Linked DNA regions of Callithrix jacchus. Each later gene encodes a partner of the first gene's protein in a complex. Links are inferred from orthologs where the notes say so. Each region holds a gene or a part of one and is shown on either strand. Other genes may lie near its edges. The genes, in order: TNNI2 and TNNC2.

Region 1 (8,081 bases):
CCTTTGCCTCGGGTGTCCTCCTCATCTCGGGCCTCCTCTGTGCTGTCTGCTGCTGCTGCCGCTGCCACAGGAAGAAGCCCAGAGACAAGGAGGCCGTGGGCCTGGGCAGTGCCCAGGGCACCACCACCACACACCTGGTGAGGAGCGGCTCCTCTCCCGATCAGTCCAGAGAGGGCAGCTGGAAATCCAGGCTCCAGAGCCCAGGACAGCTAAGTGGCCTCAGCCCCAGGGACACTTTACTCCCCTCGAAACAGGGGTGACGAGGGCCTTCCTGGTAGGGAAGGTGGGTGAATAGAGGTGAGGAGGAGGCAGCATGAGAGGGGCGGCTCGGTGGGCCAGAGGGAGCCACAGCAGGTTCTTGAGGAAAGCCGGGGTAAACAGATACCACATTTGGTGGGTTTGGTGGGTCTCACAGAGCGAAGCTGAGGGTTTGTGCCTGCCGGGTGGCCTGCCCAGAGGTGGGGGTCTTGACCCATGTCCTGCAAGTGCTTCCCGGGAGCCCAGGGCTCCGATGGGGCATTGGCGGCAGCAGCAGCTGGCCCATGTCCGGACCCACCAGGTGCAGCCGGATGTGGAGAGTCTGCAATCCAGCCCGGCGGCCGCTCAGCAATGGGGGCGCCTGCAGCTCTCCCTGGAGTACGACTTTGGAAGGCAGGAGGTGAAGGGCCGCCGGTTCTGCAAGTTTCCGGAAAGGGTGATGGGTGAAGGGCCAAGCCTGTGCCCTGGGTGGTGGGGAGCCGACAGGGCAGGCCCCTTGGCTGAGCCCACTCCCCTGGCTCTCAGATCAGGGTGGGCCTGAGGCAGGCAGCCGACCTGAGGCCCGGGGGCACCGTGGACCCCTATGCCCGGCTCAGGGTCTCCACCCAGGCTGGGCACAGGCACGAGACAAAGGTGCACCGAGGCACGCTCTGCCCCGTGTTTGATGAGACCTGCTGCTTCCACGTGAGTCAGGGCTGGGCGGCTGGGCGGCTGGGGGCGCTAGGCTGGGGCAGAGGGCCTGGCTGACACCGCTGCCTCAGGTCCCGCAGGCGGAGCTGCCAAGGGCCACCCTGCAGGTGCAGCTTTTCCACTTCAGGCGCTTCTCGGGGCACGAGCCCCTGGGTGAGCTCCGCCTGCCACTGGGCACCGTGGATCTGCAGCATGTTCTGGAGCACTGGTACCCCCTGGGCCCACCGGCTGCCACTGAGGTGAGGCACGAATCACCAGGCCACAGACCCTCCCGCAGCCCAGGGCAGAGCTGGCAGGGACCCTGCCCTGTGGGACATGGGAGGGACTGAGGCCTGACGGGCAGCAGCTGTGGGGGCCTGAACCCCAGCTTGGCCAGAGGGGCCCTCCGGAGCTGAAGCCCTCTCACTGCCCGCAGCCCGAGCAGGTGGGGGAGCTGTGATGCTCCCTCCGGTACGTGCCCGGCTCAGGCCGTCTAACCGTGGTGGTGCTGGAAGCCCGAGGCCTGCGTCCAGGACTGGCAGGTGAGGGTCACATGTGCCCATGCTGGTGTACAAAGGTGGGACCCTGTGCACAGCCCCAGCCCGGGTCAGCGTCTCCACCTCCGGCCCCTCTTGCCTGCCCAGAGCCCTACGTGAAGGTCCAGCTCATGCTGAACCAGAGGAAGTGGAAGAAGAGGAAGACAGTTGGCAAAAAGGGCACAGCTGCCCCCTACTTCAACGAGGCCTTCACCTTCCTGGTGCCCTTCAGCCAGGTCCAGGTGGGCTGCTGGGAGGCAGGGTCAGATCAGGACCCAGTGCCAGACCGTGCTGACCAGTCTTTGTCCCCCAACCCCGCCCCGTGGCTTGTCTCTGTACAGAATGTGGACCTGGTGCTGACCATCTGGGACCGTGGCCCGCAGCTCCGGGCCGAGGCCGTGGGCAAGGTGCATCTGGGTGCCCGGGCCTCGGGGCAGCCCCTGCAGCACTGGGCGGACATGCTGGCCCACGCCCGGCAGCCCGTCGTCCAGTGGCACCCCCTGCGGCCAGTCATGGAGGTGGACCAAGCGCTGGCTCTGCAGCCCCGCCTGCGCCTGCCCCTGCCCCGCTTGGGAACACACCATGGGCCTGGGTCTCCCCGCTGAGCCCGGCCACTTGCCCAGGCTGCCCTGCAGGACCACTGCAATAAACGCCTTCTCCTGCCACTGTGTGTCCAGCTGGAGCCCCAGGGGACGCAGACACAGGGCCCGGCTCCACTCACCAGGGTCCCCCACAAGGATGGGGGAGGGGCTCCTCTCCAGGCTCAGCCAGGCCCTGAGGCCTCTGACCCAGCCCTGCTGGACCTCCGGGTAGGGGTGAGGAACCTCCCCAGGAGCACAGATCTGTGCCCCCCTCCCCCGGCCCTTCACCCTGCCCCTGCCGTCACCTCCTGGGCCCCCTGGGAAGACGGGGAGGTAGGGTCCAGAGAGTCAGGCCAGCTGGGATGGGGCGGGCGGAAGGCAGCCTTGCAGGACACAGCTCGGCCGGGCCTTCCCCGTGTGAACAGCAGGGGGCAGCAGATGCCTTCGGAAGCCGCTGAGGCCTTTAGGGGCTCCGCCCTGGCCGCTTCCCCTCTCCGTCCCCCACACATCTGGGCTGCCTTAGCGGCTGGAGCCTCCACGCTGCTGTCTCCTCTGATCCTCCCCATGGGGTTGGGGCCAAGAGCCCCCGCTCCGAGAGGGTGCCAAGTCACGGTCCCGGGGCCTCTGCAGGGTGGGGGCTGCGGAGCTGGGGGGAACGAGGGCCTCGGGCCTGGGTGAGAAGGGCAGTGCCGGGCCTGCCCGGGCAGCCAGGCGGGCCCCAAGCCCCCTCGGGTCAGAAAGGCTCCCAACGCGGGTGGCGCCACCCTCCTTAGGCTGAAGGATGTGTTCCAAGTCTCCGGAGGGGACTGTGGCCAGGCGTTCCAGGCAGGCTGGGAGGGGCCCAGTGCACGTACAGCAAGCCCCTCAGTCCCAGTCCTGCTCCCCAGGCAGGAAGCCGGCTTCACGCGGGGAGGGGGCAGCCCCCAGCCCTTGGCCGCTGTGGCAGGGCCCGGGAGGCCTCACCCCAGGAGCCAGGCTTGCAGAAGGGGGTCAGGCGTGGGCTGAAGCGGGGAACGGCCCACCGCAGGGGCCCGGTGGGGGAGCGGGCCCAGCAGAGAGGCTGTGGCTGAACCCAGCGGGCAGCCCGGTCGGCGAGCTGGACGCTGACCTCGGGCGAGGTGGGGTGAGGTGCACATCCTTGAAGGGTGACCCCTCGGCTGACCTGAGCCGTGTGCCCGGCCGATGCCACAGGCAGAGCCAGGCACCAGTGTCCTCAGGCCCCTTACAAGAACCGCAGAGGCGTCTCCAGCACGTCACCGAGCCCTAAATAGAGCCGCCCAGCCGCGGTGCCCCATCAAGACTTCTTGGACTGGGTGGCAGCACGCGGCCAGGCCAGGAGGCCGGACAGGTGGGGAGGTCTCTGTGGCTTCCTCGCCCCCATTGGTCTGAGGAGGACTCCATGCCCTTTCTGAGCAGGGGCCCAGCCTGGGGGAGGCCATTTATACCCCTCCCCCTGGGCCCACCATCCCAACTCGCCACCACCGGCCTGACCTCACGCCCAGCCCTGCTGCCCAGACTCTAGGTGAGGCCCAGCCTGGCCTGCCGAGGCTGGGGGACAGGGCATGGCTTGAGCTAGCTTGAGGGAGGACTCCCTGAGGCAGGGGTCTGGGGGTCGAGGGTGCCACCAGCAGCCCCCTTTGGGGGCCTCCGCAGACCGGGGAATGACAGGGAGAGGCTTGGGGAGGCAGCTCTGGCTGGAGGCAGGTCTTAGACAGGCCCCGACGACCAGGCTTCACCTCTGGGGACCCTGGAAGGAGAGTTTTGGAGTCAAGAAACCCCCGAACCTGAGCCCCCGGGCCACACTGAGGAGCCAAAGATGGAGGGTTAAAAATAACAGCGTCACTCAGGCGGCCACCTGCGCTGGCCCGTCCCCCACCCTCAGGGACAGCTGCAGCTCCTCAGGCTATGCCTGGGACATTTTGGGAACACTTTCTCCTCTTACTTCTCACCCTGGGGAATTCCAAGACGTTGTCCTTGAAGGGGGTCACAGTAAGGGGTGGGGTGGGAGGGGGGCGTCAGGGGAGGCCTGCACCCTTTACCAGCTGCTGGGCGAAGGCGTCGTGGTAGCCAGGCCCGGGCGACACCTCTGCCTTCCTCTCCCCGCAGGCTCCAAGCTCAGGACCTCAGGATGGGAGAGTAAGTGTACCCCCACACAGTGCCCCTGCCGCCTCCCGCCCCGTCCACCCCATCACGAATCCCACCCTGACGGCCATGGCCCTAACCTCTCTCTTCTCTCCCTGCCCGGCCTGTGTTCTCCCTCCCTGGACAGTGAGGAGGTAAGTACTTGCTGGGGGCACAAAGCATGGTGGGAAGGGGCTCCCCCACTCAGGATAGGTCACACGTTGCAGCCTCAAGGCCCTGAGACTCAGGGAAGATGGCCCCTGCCCTCCCTGCTGGCAAAAAGTGCCCCACCCACCCACCAAGAGAGGAAGTGGCTGCGCCGTGCCTTCTGGCCAGGGCAAGTGTGGCTGTGGCCTGGTCACAGGGAATCACTTCTTCTTTCTGATTCCTGCACTTCCCGCCCCAACCTTGCCAGCCAACCTGCCCCAGACCGGCCCTGTGGCCTGACTCCTCTCCCCCAGCCCCTGCCCCCCAGCACTATGTGCCACCTGGGCAAAGTGTCATGCACCACACAGCGCCCTGTCCCAGAGCGAGGTCTGGGCCCGGGGAGGCTGGGCCTCCCCATCATGGTCTCGGGAGCCCCCAGGCTCCGCTGGTCCCTGGGCAGGAGCCCCCGACCTGGCCAGGGAGTGTGGAACGGGGTCGGGGGGGTCCAGGCCCGGAAGTCCTGACTCTGTCCCCTGTCCCTGCCATGCAGAAGCGGAACAGGGCCATCACGGCCCGCAGACAGCACCTGAAGGTAGGTGTGGGCACCTGGGGGGCTGTCCGGGTGGGTCTGCGGGGAGAGCCAGCCCAGCCCCTCACCACCTGCCCCGCCGCAGAGCGTGATGCTCCAGATCGCGGCCACGGAGCTGGAGAAGGAGGAGAGCCGCCGCGAGGCCGAGAAGCAGAACTACCTGGCGGAGCACTGCCCACCACTGCACATCCCGGGCTCCATGTCCGAAGTGCAGGTACTGCCAACCCCCCGCAGCCGGCCTGCCTGCTGCCTCGGTTTCCCCACTTGTCAAGAGGGCCAGCCGGGTGGTCAGGGCAGGGGCCGGTGACCGTGGCTGCAAAGTGTCAGGATGGCCACCCGCCCCCACGCCCACCCCTAGGAGCTCTGCAAACAGCTGCACGCCAAGATTGACACGGCTGAAGAGGAGAAGTACGACATGGAGGTGAGGGTGCAGAAGAGCAGCAAGGAGGTGAGTGACGGGGATGGGCAGCGGCCCCCAAGGCGGGTGGGCGGACTGGCAGGGGCAGGGAGCTGAGGCCACTGGGACCTCGGGTCCTCACCTGGCTCCCGTGCCCACAGCTGGAGGACATGAACCAGAAGCTGTTCGATCTGCGGGGCAAGTTCAAGCGGCCCCCACTGCGGAGGGTGCGCATGTCGGCCGACGCCATGCTCAAGGCCCTGCTGGGCTCCAAGCACAAGGTGTGCATGGACCTGAGGGCCAACCTCAAGCAGGTCAAGAAGGAGGACACAGAGAAGGTGCGTGCCACGGGGAGCACCACCCACGCCCACCCTGCTGGGGGAGCACCACCCATGCCCACCCTCTCCCTGGGGAGCACCACCCATGCCCACCCTCTCCCTGGGGAGCACCACCTACACCCACCCTCTCCCTGGGGAGCACCACCCATGCCCACCCTCTCCCTGGGGAGCACCACCTACACCCACCCTCTCCCTGGGGAGCACCACCCATGCCCACCCTCTCCCTGGGGAGCACCACCCACACCCACCCTCTCCCTGGGGAGCACCACCCATGCCCACCCTCTCCCTGGGGAGCACCACCCACACCCACCCTCTCCCTGGGGAGCACCACCCATGCCCACCCTGCTGGGGGAGCACCACCCACACCCACCCTCTCCCTGGGGAGCACCACCCACACCCACCCTCTCCCTGGGGAGCACCACCCACGCCCACCCTCTCCCTGGGGAGCACCACCCATGCCCACCCTCTCCCTGGGGAGCACCACCTACACCCACCCTCTCCCTGGAGAGCACCACCCACGCCCACCCTCTCCCTGGGGAGCACCACCCACGCCCACCCTCTCCCTGGGGAGCACCACCCACGCCCACCCTCTCCCTGGGGAGCACCACCCATGCCCACCCTCTCCCTGGGGAGCACCACCTACACCCACCCTCTCCCTGGAGAGCACCACCCACGCCCACCCTCTCCCTGGGGAGCACCACCCACGCCCACCCTCTCCCTGGGGAGCACCTCCCACACCCGCCTTGTCCCTGGGGAGCACCTCCCACACCTGCCTTGTCCCTGGGGAGCACCTCCCACACTCACCCTGCTATGGGTCCCAAAAGCACACTGCCCTGCCGGGTGCCCTGCACCACTGCCCCTCCAGGGCACTCTACAGCCCAATGCAGAGGGGAACCTGAGGCTGAAGGTGGTGTGGACCAGGGTGCGCCTGAGCTCTCTCCTGCCCCCACCCCCAGGAGCGGGACCTGCGAGACGTGGGTGACTGGAGGAAGAACATCGAGGAGAAGTCGGGCATGGAGGGTCGGAAGAAGATGTTCGAGTCGGAGTCCTAGGCTCCTCGTCAGCCCACGCCTGCCCGGGGCCCAGCTCCCAGCAGAGCACACCGGGGGCACGCACCCAGAGCCTGCCGTGGAGGGCTGGCCTTGTGTCCACTGTCAATAAAGGATCTGAATCCCCTTGGCTGGTCTGGTCTGGCTCTCCCCAGCCTCATTGGCTGTGCTCTGGGCCCCGGTCTCGGTGGCCTGCGGTATGGTCAGTGGCCAGTGGGGAAAGCCTGGGAGGAGGCTGCACGGGGCCTGAGGGTTTCGGCTTGGGAGGGAGGCTGCTTCCAGCAAGGAGGTGAGTCCGGGAAGGCCCTGCAGGGGAATCCACCCACTTGGAGAACGTGGAGGGGTGCACCTGCAAAGTGGGCCACGGGATCTCGGGCTAGGGATCAGCACAGGCTAGGGATCAGCATGGGATCTCGGGCTAGGGATCAGAGACCGGCCTGGTCTCTCGTCCTTACTGCCACCCTGAAAGATAGGCTGTGTCACTCTTCACCACACCAGGGAACCAAGAGACTTGTGCCCACCAGCGACCCCAACCAGGCCCCAGTGTGGCCCCAACTCTCCTTTCCACTCTGCCCCAAGACCCTAGCCCCAACTGGCCACCAAGGACAGGGCTCTGACAGGCTCTGACAAGGCTGGTGACAGCAAGGCTGCCTTGTTATCAGTTGCGCTCTTCGAAGGCTACCAGAGCAGGCACGCCAAGGTCCCTCTGCTCAGATCTTCGCTGAGGAGACGCCAGCCCGCGCTCTGCCCTTGCCCTCTGGAGGTCCTGCTGATTGATCTGCCGGAGGTAGGACGTACATCGGCAGTTCCGCCTCTGGCTGCCTTGAGGACTGACGTCAACGGGCGCCCGGGATGGCCTTGGCTGTGTACCGTCCCCCGCCCCGCAGGCATCCTCCAGCCCTGGCATTCAGCTCTGACCTTTACCGCAACTGAAGCCCCACGCCAGGCTGAACCCCCACCCGGGCCTTCTCCTGGAGCCCCCTGTAGGGGAAGGCCAGGCCACTAGCGTGAAGCAGCACAGCTTGGGGCCAGGGGTGCACAGCCTGGTGGGTGTAGCTGGGGCAGAGGTGCAGGGTGCCCCACACCGTGATGATGGGCGCAGCCCGGGGTGGAGGGGGTCATGGGGCACAGAAGTGTGGCTTGAGACCTGGCCTGTGGGGGAGACACTGCTCAAGGCCGAGCCTCAGCTGAGCCTGATGGAGGACAAGGGGTGCTGCAGGCCGGGGTGTGCCCGGCACAGATCCAGGCAGGCGGGCACATGCACAAGTGGTGGCGGGGCCTGGCCATAGACCCCCTTGCAGGGTACCCGGCAGCTCTGTGGTGCCTGTGCCCACTGGGAAAGAGGCTGGACCCAGTCTCATGGGGTATCAGGGCCGGGCATGAGTTCACACCTGGC
Region 2 (8,039 bases), on another chromosome or scaffold:
CAAGGTGCTGGGATTATAAGCATGAGCCACCATCCACCATTCTTCGTTTTATTTATTTATTTTTTTATTGGAGATAGGATCTCGCCTCCCAAAGTGCTAGGATTACAAATGTGAGCTACTGTTCCCATTTTTAAACTCTGTATGGATATCTCCTGCAGCCTCCCTGAGAAATGGTCATCTATCTACTGCTTGCATATACTTAGCTACAGGGAGCTCATTACCTTCTGAGGCTGCCTGTTCCCATTTTCAACTATGACTATTAGGAAGTTCCCCCTTATACTGAACTAAATACCATCCAGTTCAGTTATTCTTTTATTCTTTCCTCTTTTCTTTTTTTTTCTGAGACGGAGTTTCACTCTTGTTGCCCAGGCTGGAGTGCAATGGTGCGATCTCAGCTCGCTGCAACCTCTGCTTCCCAGGTTCAAGTGATTCTCCTGCTTCAGCCTCCCGAGTAGCTGGGATTATAAGCATGTGCCACCACGTCCAGCTAATTGTGTATTTTTGGTAGAGACAGGGTTTCTCCATGTTGATCAGGTTGGTCTCCAACTCCTGACCTCAGGTGATGTGCCTGCCTTGGCCTCCCAAAGTGCTTGGATTACAGGTGTGAGACACCATGCCTGGCCCAGTTATTCTTATGTAGAATATAATATCTGTTGAACACCTGCTATGTGGCAAGTGCTGAGTACTGGAAAATATGATGGTCTATGAAACATAGAATGGGTGGTGATCATAAGGCATGCTCAGTGCTCTGATTGAGGAAACTACTGGAGACCACCTTGGACTCCCCAGCCTGGACATAGGGGAGGAAGGATCTCCTAGGAAGTGACGCTAGAGCTGAGAAAGATGATAGGGAAGTAGACAGATGAAGGGAGGGAATATGGGAGTTTCTGGCAGAAAAGACCAGCATATGCAAAGGCCTGAAGGTTCGTAAAAGGTGGTGTTTAGAGTAGTATTTTAAAGTCTGACCAGAACAGACAGCAACACAATGTGGAGGGGAGGAGCAGGGAGATTAGAAGGGCCAGTGGGACCTTGCTTGGCCACATTCAGGAATTTGGGAGGCTGGAGGATCACTTGAGTGAGGTCAGGAGTTCGAGACCAGCCTGGCCAACATGATGAAGGCTTGTCTCTATGAAAAATGCAAAAATTGGCTGGGCACAGTGGCTCATGCCTATAATCCCAGCACTTTGGGAGGCAAAGGCGGGTGGATCACCCGAGGTTAGGAGTTTGAGACCAGCCTGACCAACATGGAGAAACACTGTTTCTACATGAAATACAAAATTAGCTGGGCGTGGTGGTACATGCCTATAATCCCAGCTACTCGGGAGGCTGAGGCAGGAGAATCACTTGAACCTGGGAGGCAGATGTGGTGAGCTCAGATTGCACCATTGCATTCCAGCGTGGGCAACAAGAGCAAGACTTCATCTCAAAAAAAAATTAGCCAGGTGTGGTGGTATGTGTCTGTAATCCCGGCTACTCAAAAGGCTGAGGTATGAGAATCACTTGAACCCAGGAGGTGGAGGTTGCAGTGAGCCAAGATTGTGCCACTGCACTCCAGCCTGGGTGACAGAGTGAGACTCTATTTCAAAAACAAAACCCAAAAAGCAAAAATAACCAAATTGGAATTGGAATCCCATGGGTCTCACCCTTTGGCTCCCTGCCTGCCTGGGGAGGCCTTATCTAGCTTGGCATGGCCCTGCTGAACTTTCCTTGGGAATGTCTATATATAGGGGAAGCCCAGTTGCCACTGTCCATCTGTCTTCCTTGGTGTCCAGCCCCGCTTTCCTGGCCCTGGAGCCTGCTATCGGTTGTCTTGGTGCTCTTTCTGTCGACGTAGCTACTGTCCACAAGCCTTGCCTTACTCCCCAGTGCCTAGTATGCACCTCGTGGATTCTGAGGGTGGGATCCCTCTGGACTTGATCTGCCCACCCCTTTACTCCCTAGATGACCAGATTTCTTCACTGAGCTCTAGGAAGGGGCCAGCTGCCCTTTTACCACTTAAAGAACCTTCCCCTGCCAACTCGCCACCCCTAAAAGTGAATCCAAACCACCTTTCCCTGGAGAAGGTAACTTTGAAAGAAGGGTGTTTGCTTTCAATGATCATTTCTCCTCCAAATGCACATCCTCCTCTCCTCCATCCCTCCCCTCCATACACTTTTCTATCTGCACAGGTACCCAAAGGACAGTGTCCCAACTTTCCTCCAGTCGGAATTCATAATAAGAATCATTTGGGCTAGGCGTGGTGGTTCACGCCTATAATCCCAGCACTTTGGGAAGCCAAGGTGGTCAGATCAAGAGGTCAGGAGATGGAGACCATCCTGGCCAACATGGTGAAACCCCGTTTCTACTAAAATACAAAAAAATTAGCTGGGCGTGGTGGCATGCACCTGTAGTCCCAGCTATTTGGGAGGCTGAGGCAGGGGAATTGCTTGAACCCAGGAGGTGGAGGTTGCAGTGAGCCGAGATCGCACCACTGTACTCCAGCCTCGCGACAGAACGAGACTCCATCTCAAAAAATAATACGAAGAGGGCCAGGCGCGGTGGCTCACGCCTATAATCCCAGCACTTTGGGAGGCCGAGGTGGGTGGATTATGAGGTCAAGAGATCGAGACCATCCTGGTCAACAAGGTGAAACCCCGTCTCTACTTAAAATACAAAAATTAGCTGGGCATGGTGGTGCACGCCTGTAGTCCCAGCTACTTGGGAGGCTGAGGCAGGAGAATTGCTTGAACCCAGAAGGAGGAGGTTGTGATGAGCCAAGATTGTGCCATTGCACTCCAGTCTGGGTAACAACAGCAAAACTCCGTCTCAAAAAAAAAAAAAAAAAGAAGAAAAAGAAGAATCATCAACATGGGTGGGCATGGTGTCTCATGACTATAATTCTAGCAGTTTGGGAGGCCAAAGTGGAAGGATCCCTTCAGCCCAGGAGTTCGAGACCAGCATGGTCAACATGGTGAAACCTCATCTCTACAAAAAATACAAAAATAAAACAAAACAGACAACAACAAAAAACCAGGGATGGTAGTGCACCTCTAGTCACAGCTACTCGGGAGGCTGAGGTGGGAGGATCACTTGAGCCCAGGAGACTGAGGCTGCAGTGAGCTGTAACAGCACTATTGCACACTAGCCTTGGTGACAGAGCAAGTATAGACCTTTATGATTTATAAAGCTCTGCAGTCAAATGGGGATAATAATAGTTGCTATCTCATAGGAGGAGCACTAGATGAGATCATGTTAAAATACTTAGCACAGTGTATGGCACGTCATGGAGGTTCAGTAAACAGTGGCCTAGCTGTCACTTTCTCCTCCTTCTATCCCCTACCCCTCACCATGGTTCAAAGACAGGACATTCCTCTTGCCAAGCACTAACCCTGTATACCTGGCCTAAGCTAGGTGACTTATACCTGGGTTCCCATTTACCGTGGTTTCTCTGTGAGGGAGACTGCACAGAGAGGTCCATCCTACAGACGAGGAAATGACTCAGAGAGGCATTTCGACCTGCCCAAGGTCACACAGCTCACAGAGGCCGGCCTTGAATGTTGGGTTTTGGACTTCAAGGCTTGTACTCTCCTCATTTTACTGTGCTGCCTCACTCTTTACTACTCTGATTGTCCTTACCATCTTGGAGCCAGTGTGCTTCCCTGGTGAGAGGGGGAGAGCAGGGGGACTCCAAGGCGGTGGAACAGGGCGGGCCTTCCTCACAAGAATCTGGGACGTCAAGGCCTGCCACCTGCTCGGAGGCTTAAATTTCTCTGCAAGGGCCCTTGGCTAAATTAGGTAATGGGTTCAGACCTTTGGTGGGGTGGGGCTCACTGACACCAGGATCTGATTGGGTAGGGCATCCAGTGCTGGGGAGCAGGGAGGTGGGAGGGGAGGGTGCCCCTACAAATCCCAGGGGCTAGAGCAGGCCAGGGCATCTTTGGGTGGTGGAGTGCAAAGGAGGTGACCTGCAGCAGAGGAGACCCGGTCACCAGCAACCATGGTAAGGACAAGAAGGGATTGCGGCTTCACTCACGGGAACACTCTGGACATCTTTGAGGCCAGGCATGGGTGCTCTGTGGGGCAGTAACTTGGATGTGTGAGGTTGGAGCATGGAGGTTCCTGGAACCCAGGTGTCTTGGAGGAAGGCCTTTGACTTTTCTTGGAAGGGGAGGGCTGGGGTGTTCCAGAGATTGATGGTCAAGGCTTGCTGACTGCCTATGCACCTTTGGAAACTTCCAGCACTGTCATTCATAGACCTGTGAAGAGCTCTTAGCTATGTTTCTTTCACATAGTGGGGACCCTGAGGGGTCAGAGTGAGTTACCCAGCAAGCCAGTGGCAGGGGTGAGCCAGACTCCTGGCCAAACCCTCCTACCATCATGGAGAGAAGAAAGGCTCCTCCAGAAGATGAGAGGCCTGCAGGGCGTGGGGCCCACTCAGATACAGGGGCTCCGGGACCCCTGAGGACGATGGGAAGAGACAGAAGATGACAGACCAGAATTAGAGAAACCCTGCTCTCCTAGAGGGGGTTCTGAGTTGGTGCTGTGGTTTTCGTCTGAGAATCCCCTCCTCACTTCACCTCAAGGAGTAACTAGATCCCAGAGGCCAGCTGCTGTTGCCCATGCCTGACTAAAAATAGCCTGCCCTCCTGGCACAGGGAAAGAAGAAGAGAGTAAGGAGGGGGAGAAGGAGGAGGGCCAGCGGCCAGCCGGCTGAAGAGCTCCTTGGAAGCCTCACCCCATCCTTACTGCCAGCTTCAGCCCAAAGCCTCCGACCCAGATGGTCTGGCTTGGATATGACCTGGAAGCCCCCACAGAAATCTCACTTTCATGTCAAGGCCCCCCTCACATTCTGCCCAATATGAGAGGCCTTTTCTCCAATGACTGAATCCTAAGAAGGAAGCTGATCTGCGACTCCGCCAGTTCTCTGAGGGGCAGGAGGATGTATCCTCGGTCTCTTCTTGGTGGTCCCAGTGCCTGATCTGTGGCCTGACATGCAGCAAGTGCTCAATAACTTTGTGTCCTTTTTTTTTTTTTTTTTGAGTTGAAGTCTCACACTATCGACAGGGCTGGAGTGCAATGGCGTGCTCTCAGCTCATTGCAACCTCTGACTCCCAGGTTCAAGTGATTCTCCAGCCTCAGCCTCCTGAGTAGTTGGGATTACAGGTGCCCGCCACCACGTTCGGCTAATTCTGTGTAATTTTAGTAGAGACGGGGTTTCACTATGTTGGCCAGGCTGGTCTCAAACTCCTGACCTCCTGATCCACCTGCCTCAGCCTCCCAAAGTGCTGGGATTACAGGGTGAGCCATTGTGCGCGGCTTGTGTTGCATTATTATTTATCTGAGAACAAACATTTTATTGAGCAACTATTAAAGTACTGAGCACCATTAGGAGCTAGAGAAAACTGGAAAATACTGCTGGAATGGTGCTAGCCTTTTACAAAGCCCTTTCACACCCCTGATATCTCATCCCTGAAAAGCTACAGAGAAGAGATGAAGGCACACTAAGTGACTTGCCTAAGGTCACTGGGGGGATTCCTGACTTGGCCTTCAATTGACAAGTGAGAAGGCCTTGGGCTTAATTTGCTGTCTCCTCTCTTTTTCTCAAAACTAGTGCCAGGCTGAGCACGGTGGCTCTCAGCACTTTGGGAAGCTGAGGTGAGCAAATCACCTGAGGTCAGGAGTTCGAGACCATCCTGACCAACATGGTGAAACCCCGCCTCTACTAAAAATACAAAAATCAGCTGGGCATGATGGCACACACCTGTAATCCCAGCTACTTAGGAGGCTGAGGCAGGAGAATTGCTTGACCCTGGCAGGTAGAGGTTTCAGTGAGCCGAGATCCTGCCATTGCACTCCAGCCTGGGTGACAGGGTGAGACTCTGTCTCAAGCAAACAAAAACAAAAAACGGGGGTCAGCAGCTGGACACAGTGGCTCAAGCCTGTAATCCCAGCACTTTGAGAGGCTGAGGCGGGAGGATCACTTGAGCCCAGGAGTTCTAAGCCAGTCTGGGCAATATAGTCAGACCCCATCTCTACCAAAAATTTAAAAAATTAGCCAGGCATGGTGTACACTAGTCCCAGATACTTAGGAGGCTGAGGCAGGAGGATCACTTGAGACCAGGAGGTCAAAGCTGCAGTGAGTTGTGATCATACTACATATCCAACCTGTGTGACAGAGCGAGACCTTGTCTTCTGAATAAAACAAAACTGATTGGGTGCTGTGGGGGCACACAAATATGTGACGAGTTTGAAGTTGTTCTTCTGGAGGACCAAGGGGCGCTGGCAGAGTGGGGGTTGGGGTGAATGGGGTAGAGGTGAGGTGCTGCTCTAGGGTTACCTCTTCAGCTGACTTTTTCTCTGTGTCTCCTGCAGACTGACCAGCAGGCTGAGGCCCGGTCCTACCTCAGCGAGGAGATGATCGCTGGTGAGTGAGGCCGGCAGGCTGGGAAGCAGTTGGCCTCCCGGCAGGGTTGGGGGGTAGGTGTGAGGCTGACAGTCCAGCGATCCTCACCTCTGCCCTCTGCTCTCCCTCGCAGAGTTCAAGGCTGCCTTTGACATGTTTGATGCTGATGGTGGTGGGGACATCAGCGTCAAGGAGTTGGGCACCGTGATGAGGATGCTGGGCCAGACACCCACCAAGGAGGAGCTGGACGCCATCATCGAGGAGGTGGATGAGGACGGTGAGCGGCTGGCCCTCGGAGGCAGGGGATGGTGGGGAGAGGCAGCGGCGGCCGGGCTCAGGCTCAGTCCACCACCTGCTCCCCGCAGGCAGCGGCACCATTGACTTCGAGGAGTTCTTGGTCATGATGGTGCGCCAGATGAAAGAGGATGCAAAGGGGAAGAGTGAGGAGGAGCTGGCCGAGTGCTTCCGCATCTTCGACAGGTGTGCTGGAGGCCTGGGAGCCAAGGGAGGGGCCGAGCAGTCAGAGCCCGACCGGTGGCGCCGGAAGGTTCCCGGGTTGGGGGTGTGGGGACGGGGTGTCGAGCGTAACCAGGGCAACTCGCCCCGGTCCTGAGCCCTCCCCTATCCCTCGGACTCGAAGGAACGCAGACGGCTACATCGACGCGGAGGAGCTGGCTGAGATTTTCAGGGCCTCTGGAGAGCATGTGACGGACGAAGAGATCGAATCTCTGATGAAAGACGGGGACAAGAACAACGATGGCCGCATTGACTTCGATGGTGAGGGCCGCGGCAGCTTGGGAGAGAGGGTGGGAGCCACAGGGGCAGCGGGTACTGGTGCCACTGGCTCCCGTGCGCTGTCGCTGGCCTTGTGGGCGGGGCTGGGCGTCACCTCACCAAGTTCCTCCTAAGTGTTGGTATAGAAGTGCTCCACGACTCCGTGCAGTTTATCAGTTAACGACCAGGCAGCAGGGCGCGATGGCTCAGGCCTGTAAAATCCTAGCGCGTTGGGAGGACGAGCCGGGAGGATTACTTGAGGACAGGAGTTTGAGACAAGCCTGGGCAACATAGTGAGACCCTGTCTTTACAAAAATAAAATAAAAAGCCAGGGGTCTCCTGTGATCCCAGTTGCTCCAGGGGCTGAGGTGAGAGGATCACTTGAGCCCAGGAGGTCCAGGCTGCAGTGATTGTGCCACTGCACTCTAGGCTGGGCGACAGGCCTTGGTGACAGACCTTGGCAACAGAGTGAGACCCTGTCTCAACAAAAACAAAAAACAAGGCCGGGTGCAGTGGCTCAGGCCTGTAATCCCAGCAGTTTCAGAGGCAGAGGTGGGTGGATCATGAGGTCAGGAGATTGAGACCATCCTGGCTAACATGGTGAAACCCCATCTCTACTAAAATACAAAAAAATAGCCGGGCCTGGTGGCATGCACCTGTAGTCTCAGCTACTCGGGAGGCTGAGGCAGGAGAATCGCTTGAACTTGGGAGGCGGAGGTTGCAGTGAGCTGAGATTTTGCCACTCCACTCCAGCCTGGGTTACACTCCAGCTAGACTCCGTCTCAAAACAAACAAAAAAGTCATCCCCTCTGAATGACTGGAGCCCTGGCCTGACCTTTGCATCCCCAGGTGGGACCTGTGACCCGCTCCCTCTCCTTTCCCG

The links.
Region 2: the proteins of TNNI2 (region 1) and TNNC2 are in contact, whole or in part, in a crystal structure (PDB 1A2X), measured with the Oryctolagus cuniculus proteins. The link is inferred for Callithrix jacchus from reciprocal best matches to the Homo sapiens genes TNNI2 and TNNC2. Residues at the interface, in NP_001076252.1 of Oryctolagus cuniculus: Glu5, Asn8, Arg9, Ile11, Thr12, Arg14, Arg15, Gln16, His17, Leu18, Lys19, Ser20, Val21, Met22, Leu23, Ile25, Ala26, Glu29, Leu30, Glu33; in NP_001076114.1 of Oryctolagus cuniculus: Ser13, Glu15, Met16, Ala18, Glu19, Ala22, Lys91, Leu96, Glu98, Cys99, Arg101, Ile102, Phe103, Arg105, Ile119, Phe120, Ala122, Ser123, Glu125, His126, Val127, Glu131, Ser134, Leu135, Asp138, Phe152, Met155, Met156, Val159, Gln160.

What each region holds. Positions count from the first base shown.
Region 1 is NC_133511.1:130,046,037-130,054,117, reverse strand, and holds TNNI2 (troponin I, fast skeletal muscle), read left to right. Parts: upstream 1-3,337; 5' UTR 3,338-3,392; intron 3,393-4,150; 5' UTR 4,151-4,180; intron 4,181-4,313; 5' UTR 4,314-4,667; coding exon 4,668-4,904; intron 4,905-4,986; coding exon 4,987-5,115; intron 5,116-5,259; coding exon 5,260-5,349; intron 5,350-5,459; coding exon 5,460-5,636; intron 5,637-6,592; coding exon 6,593-6,688; 3' UTR 6,689-6,812; downstream 6,813-8,081. UniProt on the Homo sapiens protein: Troponin I is the inhibitory subunit of troponin, the thin filament regulatory complex which confers calcium-sensitivity to striated muscle actomyosin ATPase activity.
Region 2 is NC_133506.1:41,064,524-41,072,562, reverse strand, and holds the start of TNNC2 (troponin C, skeletal muscle), read left to right. Parts: upstream 1-3,912; 5' UTR 3,913-3,976; coding exon 3,977-3,979; intron 3,980-6,351; coding exon 6,352-6,403; intron 6,404-6,515; coding exon 6,516-6,659; intron 6,660-6,747; coding exon 6,748-6,862; intron 6,863-7,022; coding exon 7,023-7,159; intron 7,160-8,039. UniProt on the Homo sapiens protein: Troponin is the central regulatory protein of striated muscle contraction. Tn consists of three components: Tn-I which is the inhibitor of actomyosin ATPase, Tn-T which contains the binding site for tropomyosin and Tn-C.